2 linked regions of the Danio rerio genome follow. The protein of the gene in region 1 purifies or fractionates together with the protein of each later gene. This does not show direct contact. Links are inferred from orthologs where the notes say so. Each region holds a gene or a part of one and is shown on either strand. Other genes may lie near its edges.

What was found.
Region 2: the proteins of stk11 (region 1) and cops4 purify together in Homo sapiens (affinity purification with mass spectrometry; 4 studies listed by BioGRID and IntAct, with this or other methods). This does not show direct contact. The link is inferred for Danio rerio from reciprocal best matches to the Homo sapiens genes STK11 and COPS4.

Annotation. Positions count from the first base shown.
Region 1 is NC_133177.1:63,068,463-63,072,905, reverse strand, and holds the start of stk11 (serine/threonine-protein kinase STK11), read right to left. Parts: upstream 3,054-4,443; 5' UTR 2,895-3,053; intron 1-2,894. UniProt on the Homo sapiens protein: Tumor suppressor serine/threonine-protein kinase that controls the activity of AMP-activated protein kinase (AMPK) family members, thereby playing a role in various processes such as cell metabolism, cell polarity, apoptosis and DNA damage response.
Region 2 is NC_133185.1:12,012,680-12,017,261, reverse strand, and holds the start of cops4 (COP9 signalosome complex subunit 4), read right to left. Parts: upstream 2,888-4,582; 5' UTR 2,820-2,887; coding exon 2,746-2,819; exon of another isoform or gene 769-2,745; intron 526-768; exon of another isoform or gene 496-525; coding exon 416-495; intron 1-415. UniProt on the Homo sapiens protein: Component of the COP9 signalosome complex (CSN), a complex involved in various cellular and developmental processes.

The sequences.
Region 1 (4,443 bases):
CAGCATGCTGAATGTTGGATTTCCGTCTGCGAGGTGTCGGCGAGGTGTCGGCGACGCGTCAGCGAGCCTCGTTGATGCGTTGTTCAGTAGTTCACACATAAAGAGCGGCGAGCGCCGAGCACCCGCAGATTTCTTCCCGATCACAGCCCGATCTGTCGGCGAGCTCGTTAACTTCCAAATCGGGCTCAAATCAGGCTTAAAATCCTCTAGTGTGAACTAGGCTTAAGCCGCTGCACTGTTCAGCTCTTCAGCATGCTGGATGTTGGTTTAAAAGAGATTTGTGTTTTAGATGCTTACTGAATCATATACTGACCAGTAACTTGTGGTGTGGATGCTACTTTTCTACTGTTGCCCTAAAAAAACTCAATAAAAGTCATGAAAAACAAAACCTACAAATACCTTAGGACTGATATAACACAATGTTTTAGCGGCTTTATACCTTGAATTTTTAAAACCGCGGTAAACCTTAAAACCGGTTATTGTCCCATGCCTAGTCCCTAATTAATTAGGACTCGCCACAGCAGAATGAACCGCCAACTATTCCAGCACATGTTTTACACAGCAGATCCACGCCAACCTGGAGAGACCATGCAAACTCCACACAGAAACACCAACTGACCCAGCCGGGCTTGCTGTGTGGCCACAGTGCTAACCACTGAGCCACCGTGTCACCCATATATATATATATATATATATATATATATATATATATATATATATATATATATATATATATATATATATATATATATATATATATATATATATATATATATTTTTTTTTTTTTTTTTTTTTTCTTGCTTTGTAGTTGTTTTGCTTTCTTTAGAATAGGCAGCTTTAAAAGGAACAGCAAGCAAGACTGACCCCCACAGATACATTGACAGCCTTCATGAATGAAATGCACACTTTTCCACCATCTGGCAACCCGGAGTGCTGAAATATAACTTGTAAAACTGGCTGTGGGGCAGAGTTACAGAGAAAGCAAAGACAGATATTCTGACACTGAAAGCACATTCTCAAAGCAGAAGAACTGACTGCTGAATTATTTCTCTGAAAAACATGCTCATTTAGCATGTTTCTTAAATATCTGCAAACATACTATGGTATTTCTATGCTTTAGAAGAGTCAAACACATACAGTTGAATTCAGAATTATTCGCCCCCTTTTTATTTTTTACCTAATTTCTGTTTAACAGAGAGCAGATTTTTTTCAGCACATTTCTAATCATAATAGTGTTAATAACTCATCTCTAATAACTGATTTATTTTCTCTTTGTCATGATGACAGTAAATAATATTAGACTAGATATTCTTCAAGACACTTCTATACAGCTTAAAGTGACATGTAAAGGCTTCACTAGGGTAATTAGGGTAAAGTTAGGGTAATTAGGCAAGTCATTGTATAATGACGGTTTGTTCGAAACAAAATAAATAGCTTAAAGGGGCTAATAATATTGACCTTAAAATGTTTTTAAAAAAATTAAAAACTGCTTTTATTCTAGCCGAAATAAAACAAATCACACTTTCTCCAGAAGAACAAATATTATCAGACATACTGTGAACATTTCCTCAATCTGTTCAACATAATTTGTGAAATATTTCCATTTCCAAATCCAAGGTTGGCCGAATAATTCTAGCTTCAACTGTACAGCATTTTGAATATGTTTTTGGCTTGTCACAGTGTGGATTGCACTTTTATTTGTTGTATTTACTTATTTTGTTCTTGTGCAAACAAATTAAATTTAAATTACCAGTAAAAAACCCCAGTACTGGGAAACACCCAGACCCACTCATTCACACACACAAAAACTCATACACTACGGCCAATTTAGTTGATCAGTTCCCCTATAGCGCATGTGTTTGGACTGTGGGGGAAACCAGAGCAAACCCACTCCAACACATGGAGAACATGCAAACTCCACACAGAAACACCAACTGACCCAGCCGAGACTCCAGCAGTCACACATTGCTTGTATAACATATTTGCATAAGCTTTTCATTGAGATATAAAATTGTTGATTGAGATTGAAAATAATGATCAAAATTACATTTGTATTTTGCATGAGCTCTTCATAAGTTCCAGCATTTAAATATACTGGGGGAAAGTTAGTTTCACACTTCTGGACTTTCTCCTTAATAATATAATCTCAGAAAAGTTTTCTTTGCAAATCCTAAAAAAGGACAATCACATTTTCAGCTGATGAAAAACAAGATTGCTGACAGTCAGTTAAATAGTGCTAATGTTGATTTGAGGTCATAATTATGTCTGATTTCAGACCCAATATTCAAAGCATCATGGTAAACAATATAGGGAGCGTGTCACAACTAGTCACTGAACAAACGTGCTAATATTAAACAAACTTTAGTTCCATTTTAAATATTACAGCTCCTTTATTCTTTATTTTAGTTCTCTTCAATGTTTTAATACGATCTAGACTGAGATATAGAAGCGACACAGGAATGAAGATCAGTCTAATGAGTCTGGATATCAATAAAAGACTGCAAAAGAGGATTTTACAATCTCACACACACACACTAACACAAACTACACACAAGAAAATAGAACACACACTGAGAGAAAACACAACACAACGACACACACAGAATACACAAACACAGATCTCTATCAAACGGTCGAGAACTGAGGAGAACCGGAGATCAGATGAGCTGATTGATTAATTGATTGATTATTGATCTGATCACCTGACCATCAACTGCGGATCATCGATCAGCCGCGATGTGTGTGCGTATGTATACATGTAGATATGCGTGTGTGTTTGTGTGTATGAGTGTTTGTGTCGATGGAAGGAAAGTGTTTGTCGGCGGCGGTTAGCGGCGGCTAATGCACACATACACACACACACGGACACAGACAGAGACACGCGCACACACACTGACCTGACGCTGGCCTCCTCCGCTCGGCTCACTGACGGACACACAGTCGTTCTTCTCCTTCTTTTTCGCTCTTTATTCCTCTGTTTTCTCGCTTCTGTTCTTCACAGCTGCTGCTGCTTCAAGGCTGCCGCCATCTTGTTTACCTCCCTCCCCTCGCTGCAGTACGCATGCGCACATCCGTGAACGCGCTCGAGGCCTCCAGACGGAAACGCGCGCAGGAAAGTTCCAACTTGAAGATGATCATATCCATTCATTTATTTATTTTCTTTTCGGCTTAGTCCCTTTATAAGTCTGGCGTCGCCACTGTGGAATGAACCACCAACTCATCCAGAATATGTTTAACGTAGCGGATGCCCTTCCAGCTGCAACCCAGTACTGGGAATATGACCATAATCAAAAATATCCAAATATGTTTATCAAAGATTATTATTATGTGTGGTGTGCTGGAGCACATCAGAGGGGATTTACGGCGAATCTAAATGGCATTCTTATATAATTCTTGGTAATTTACACCTTTATTATGGATTTATTGTCTATTATCTGGTTATTGTCAGGCTAAATACTTGCATACGAGGAATAAATATTAAATATATTACATGTTATTATTATTATTATTATATTATTATTATATAAAAGTGGCAAATACAGTAAGAGTGAATTTTGTAATTCTTACACTTTTTAAATATTTTAATAAATAATCTGTATTTGTGCTGTATTAAATAATCTGTACAGGCTGTATAAATTGCAATATTCTTGTTAGCACACTAACGAGTATTTGTTAATGCAGTATTTTAAATGGCAAAATGAGTTGAGTTGATGTTTATTTATTGATTTATTTGTAGAAATGTTATAGTTTTAAATATATAGCTGAAAGCAGAAGTTTACATACACTGTATAAAAGGGCAAATGACCATTTAAAAAAAGTCAGATGTTAATGTGACTAAACTTTTTCTCTTTTAGGTAAGTGAGGATGATCACATGTGTTTCTGTTCTGCTTGATAGCAGAATAATTAGAGATATATGTTGAGGAATTGTTCTAACTCTTGTTGAAAGTCAAGTTTACACACAATCAGATTATTCTGCCTCTGGAAAAGCTCAGATGATGATGTCAGGGTTTTGGAAGTTTCTGATTGGCTAATTGACAACATTTGAGTTAATGTGAGGCACAACTGTAGAATAGTGTTGAAGGAAAAGCTCAAACACACTGCTTCCTTCTGTGACAACATGAGAAAATCAACAAGCCACAATCAACAACAAAGCCAGATTTCCATTAGCTGAATGACACTGGGAACAGACTAATGTGTGGAGACATGTCCTGTGCTCTGATGGAGCTAAGATTGAACTGTTTGGCCATAATGAGCAGTGTTACATCTGGAGGACAAAGGGGAAACACACAAGCCTAGAACACCATCCCAACTGTGCAGTATGGGGGCGGCAGCATCATGTTGTGGGGCTGTTCTGCTGCAGGAGGGACTGGTCCACTTCACAGCATAGATGGCATCATGAAGACAGAACATCATGGAGAAATACTGAAGCAACATCTCAACA
Region 2 (4,582 bases), on another chromosome or scaffold:
ATTTAGCCAGCATTAATTCTTGTTGTACACCAGTTGCGTATTAGGCATATAATAGGGAATGATACGCAGTAGAGTAGAAGACCAGTCAGAGATCGATTGTTGATAGCCACATCTCCGTTTTCAGCATTTCAGTCCATTTATTGTAAATTAAACAAAACCTTCAAATCTCAACAGAGATTTACATAATGAACATGCAGGCAGCAAGTCAGCATCATCTGTGTGATACAGTCCTGTAAATATGGACCAAAAATTCTGAGAAATAATATGAGATCCTTGCTAAAACTATTCTAAGCCATGAGAACGAGCAGTTCTGAAATCAAAATGGGTCTAACCAGTAACAGCAAGGTGTAATTAGTAAAGAGGCAAGTGAATGTTTATAATCAGAATATTAGTACTTGAATACTAGTATACTTACTCGCTTCAACAAATGCTTTCAGTGCTTCAAGTTGTTCTGCATCAGTAAACTGTAGAGCCTTTTCTAATATTTGACGATATCTGTGAAAACAGGGAGGACAAAGATTATAGCTACAAAAATTATACTATACTTGTGTTGACATTACTGGATGATAATGATGACTGGATTTATATTGTACTGTATAAAGTGATAAATATATCAAATGCAGCTTTAAATGCTTGTTAAGGTGAATTCTTAGTGGCTGTCAATCAACAGTTCTACATCCCCATTCACAATGTTGCCACGGTCATATGACCTAAACTTGAACTTCATCTTCAGAATATATGTAAATCATCATTATTTAAGCAAACCACAGTAACCACAAATCAACTATGGATTTTGACACCAATTTAAATCTATTCCTGGTGTTTATTTGTGGTTAAGTCTTGTTTATACAAATGCTAATCATCAGTGTACCAAAAAAATGCTTAATACACTTTTACTATAATATAGTCATGATCAATTTCATATGGGCTGTGTGACTTGTGTCGCTCCACTACTATTCACAAATCCTCTCCTGTGGCCTAGTGAGACAGAAAAGTTTTGATTCGACACACACCTCAGAATCTCAGCATACAAAGCATGTTATTCTGGTCCTTTTTGCATAGGGGACAGCGGGGATGAAAGTAACATTTTGCATATAAACCTAACTCTAAAAAGATAATGTTTTTAGCGGAAATATATATTTTGCTGAGGTTACCAACTCATAAGAGTGATCAATCAAAATCAGGTGTTATTTTGTATAATGTAGAACAACACCAATATAACGTCACTTTACACAAAAGTTGCACAGCTACTTTTGACAGGAACGAAAAAAAACTCACAGGTGAGTCAAAAGTAACACAACAATATTTGCTAGATTTACCGGCTTAATCGTGTTTATTTTAAATATATCTGACCAGTGGTGTAAAGTAACAAATCACCAATACTCAAATTACTGTGAGTAACTTTTCTCAGAAATTGTAATTTACCAAGTAATTTAAAAAATATGTACTTTTGATTTTTCAGTACTCATTCCACCACTGTATCTGACTTTGACCTTGTTAATGTTAACTGCAGGCATATTTTGTCCTTTATTTTTGCAAAAAAAATATTAAACTGCACCTTAATTTTTAATTTTACTTCCATAAAATGTTTCAAAAGCAATCAAACAATGCAAAATGTTATATTTTCTTAAAATTTTTGAATATTTTATTATTATTATTGGCAATCTGCATTAATCTTATAAAACAGTCAAGAGTCAAAACACTGAAAACTAATATGGAAGTGAAAAAGTGCAGAGGGACATAAATAACAGTGTTACTTTCATCCCTACAGTAAACCTAATTTACCTTTTAAACTGCAAAACTCAGACATTTCAAAATCAAGGAATTGTTATTGCACTAAAGAACCTGCAGATTGATCATTACGGTGATGCATGAAAAGAGAAATACAACAAACCACTACAATAATTTACATTTTGCACTTTCAAACAGAAATTTAGAGCTCATTGCAGGACACGGCCCCAAAATTGTATATTTAGCAGTTTCATTAAGGGTTGCATGCTGCTAAATGTGTTGTTATAGCCTGTAAATCAAATGTTTTCAGGGCTTCGAGAAAATCACTTTGTTACTTTTGTCCCACGTTTCTTTTATTCCTGCTCTCCCCTACTGTTTTTTTTTAAATACAATGAACTATTACTGTCTATTCAACTTTTTCTTTTCGCCTAATATAAAAGTCTACATATTCAGACACACATTTTAATAATGCTGAGGGTAAGGCTTGTTCATCCTATAAAATTTGATTGGACAAAAACGTAGACACGCCCCTAAATGCAAGATGAGTCATCAGTATTTTGGTTTTAAAAAACAAACGGTTTTTTTTCAAATGTCATTGTCAAATGACAACTATATTGTCAACTTTTAGGTCTACGTTTGGATATACAATATCTCAAACCAAAATTACTGAACCAAACGATTTGATTTAATGGGGTCTTAAATTCTGTAGGCTAACTGTATTTGCATTAACGTACTCCTCCTATCGTTTTCAAATTATATTAGTCAATTCACAAAGACATTTGCATACAAATATGCTAATGATTCTAATAGCTTTTACTATTTATAACTTGTATGATTGTTATTGATGTAGGCATGTTGACAGGTAGATCCTCAGTATTACACACGCTTGCTAATGTTAGCCTGTAGTCATATCATTTGCAGTATCACAGACCTTTATATAGAAAATCACACAATAACACCCAAATGCAAAAGACATACAGTAACGATATTAGCAAATGACTTGAAACCACATACTTCCCAGCTAGATCTTTATGAGAGCCACTAGAGTTCATCAGCTGTGCGAGCTCCTGCCTCACGCCGGACGCCATTTTCCTCCGCACTTAAACAGCGAAACCTGCGGGCCAGCAGAGGGCGCCACACAACACAGAGAACCGACGACAACTGAACAACACACTAGAGGGCGGTAAAGTCTATGTGGGATACAGCTGCGGATAGCATCATTTTTGTGACACTAATTAATATTTTACATAACTGTGAGATGGGCATTAATAAAATACAATTCAATGGGTAATTTAATAAATATTATGAGTAATAATTGGTATAATGACAGTTTTTTACATTATAATGGTATAATTACTGTTTTACATAACTTTATTGATTGAGTTTAGGGTTAGGGGGGATAGGCATTAATAAAATACAGTTCAATGGGTAATTTGATAAATATTATGAATAATGCTTGATATAATTATTGTTTTTACATTACTTTGATGTTTGTATTTAGGGTTAGGTAGGTGTTGACATTAATAAAATACAATTTAATTGGTAATTTAATAAATATTATGAGTAATACTTGGTATAATTACTGTTTCACATAACTTTATTGGTTGGGTTTAGGGTTAGATAGGGGTAGACGTTAATAAAATACAGTTTAATGGGTAATTTAATGAATAATATGGGTAATACGTGGTGTTTTACCATCACTTTGATGCTTGAGTTTAGGAATGGGGTAGGTGTTAATAAAATACAATTTAACTGGGGATTTTAATAAATAATTCTTGTTAATCAAATCTTGTGCATCAAATGTGTGTGTGTGTGTGTGTGTGTGTGTGTGTGTGTGTGTGTGTGTGTGTGTGCAACATTTTATTTATTATTATTATTAATGTGAACATAAATGTGAACATAAATTAATTTATTATATCAATTTGTTTGTCAAAATTTTATTTAATTAATTTTAATTGTAAATGTCTAAAATTCATCAATACAAATAGGTGCAACACACCCATTGGGGGGTTTAGACATAATATTAGTAGTAATATTAATTGAATAATGATGAATTAATAATTGATAAAATAAATTACACCTAGTTAATATTCTAAAGACAACATAAAAACTGAACCTTTAGTAACTGAACCTCTAAGAAATCTTTCTCAGACATCTTCGTGTTTTTAGTTTCAGATATTTTATTATTACTCTGAGCTCAACAGCCTCCTGATGAGATTTTATATATAGTAAGGATCAATAAAGATCTGCCTCCTTCACTCTTCCCTGCAGTAACTCTATAATATAATTAATTAATTCATTAATTTTTTTTCGGCTTAGTCCCTTCATTCATCAGGAGTTGCCACAGCGGAATGAACTGCCAACTTACCAAGCATATGTTTTACACAGCTGATGCCCTGTCAGCTGCAACCCAGTTCTGGCAAATATCTAAACACACTCGTTCACACTCATACACTATAGCCACACATATGTAATATAATATAATATAATATAATATAATATAATATAATATAATATAATATAATATAATATAATATAATATAATATAATATAATATAATATAATATAAAGGTGTCACGGGGGCACAGTTGACAGCACAATAGCCTTACAGCAAGTAGGTTGCTGGTTCGAGCCTTGGCTGGGTCAGTTGACATTTTTTGTGTGGAGTTTACATGTTCTCTCCGTGTTGGCGTGGGTTTTTTTTCGGGTGCTCCAGTTTCCCCCACAGTCCAAATACGTTCTGTGGGTGAATTGGTCGTGGTGTATGGGTGTGACTGCAAGAGTGTGTGGGTGTTTCCCAGTGTTGGGTTGCGGCTAAAGAGCATCTGCTGCGTAAAACATATGCTGGATA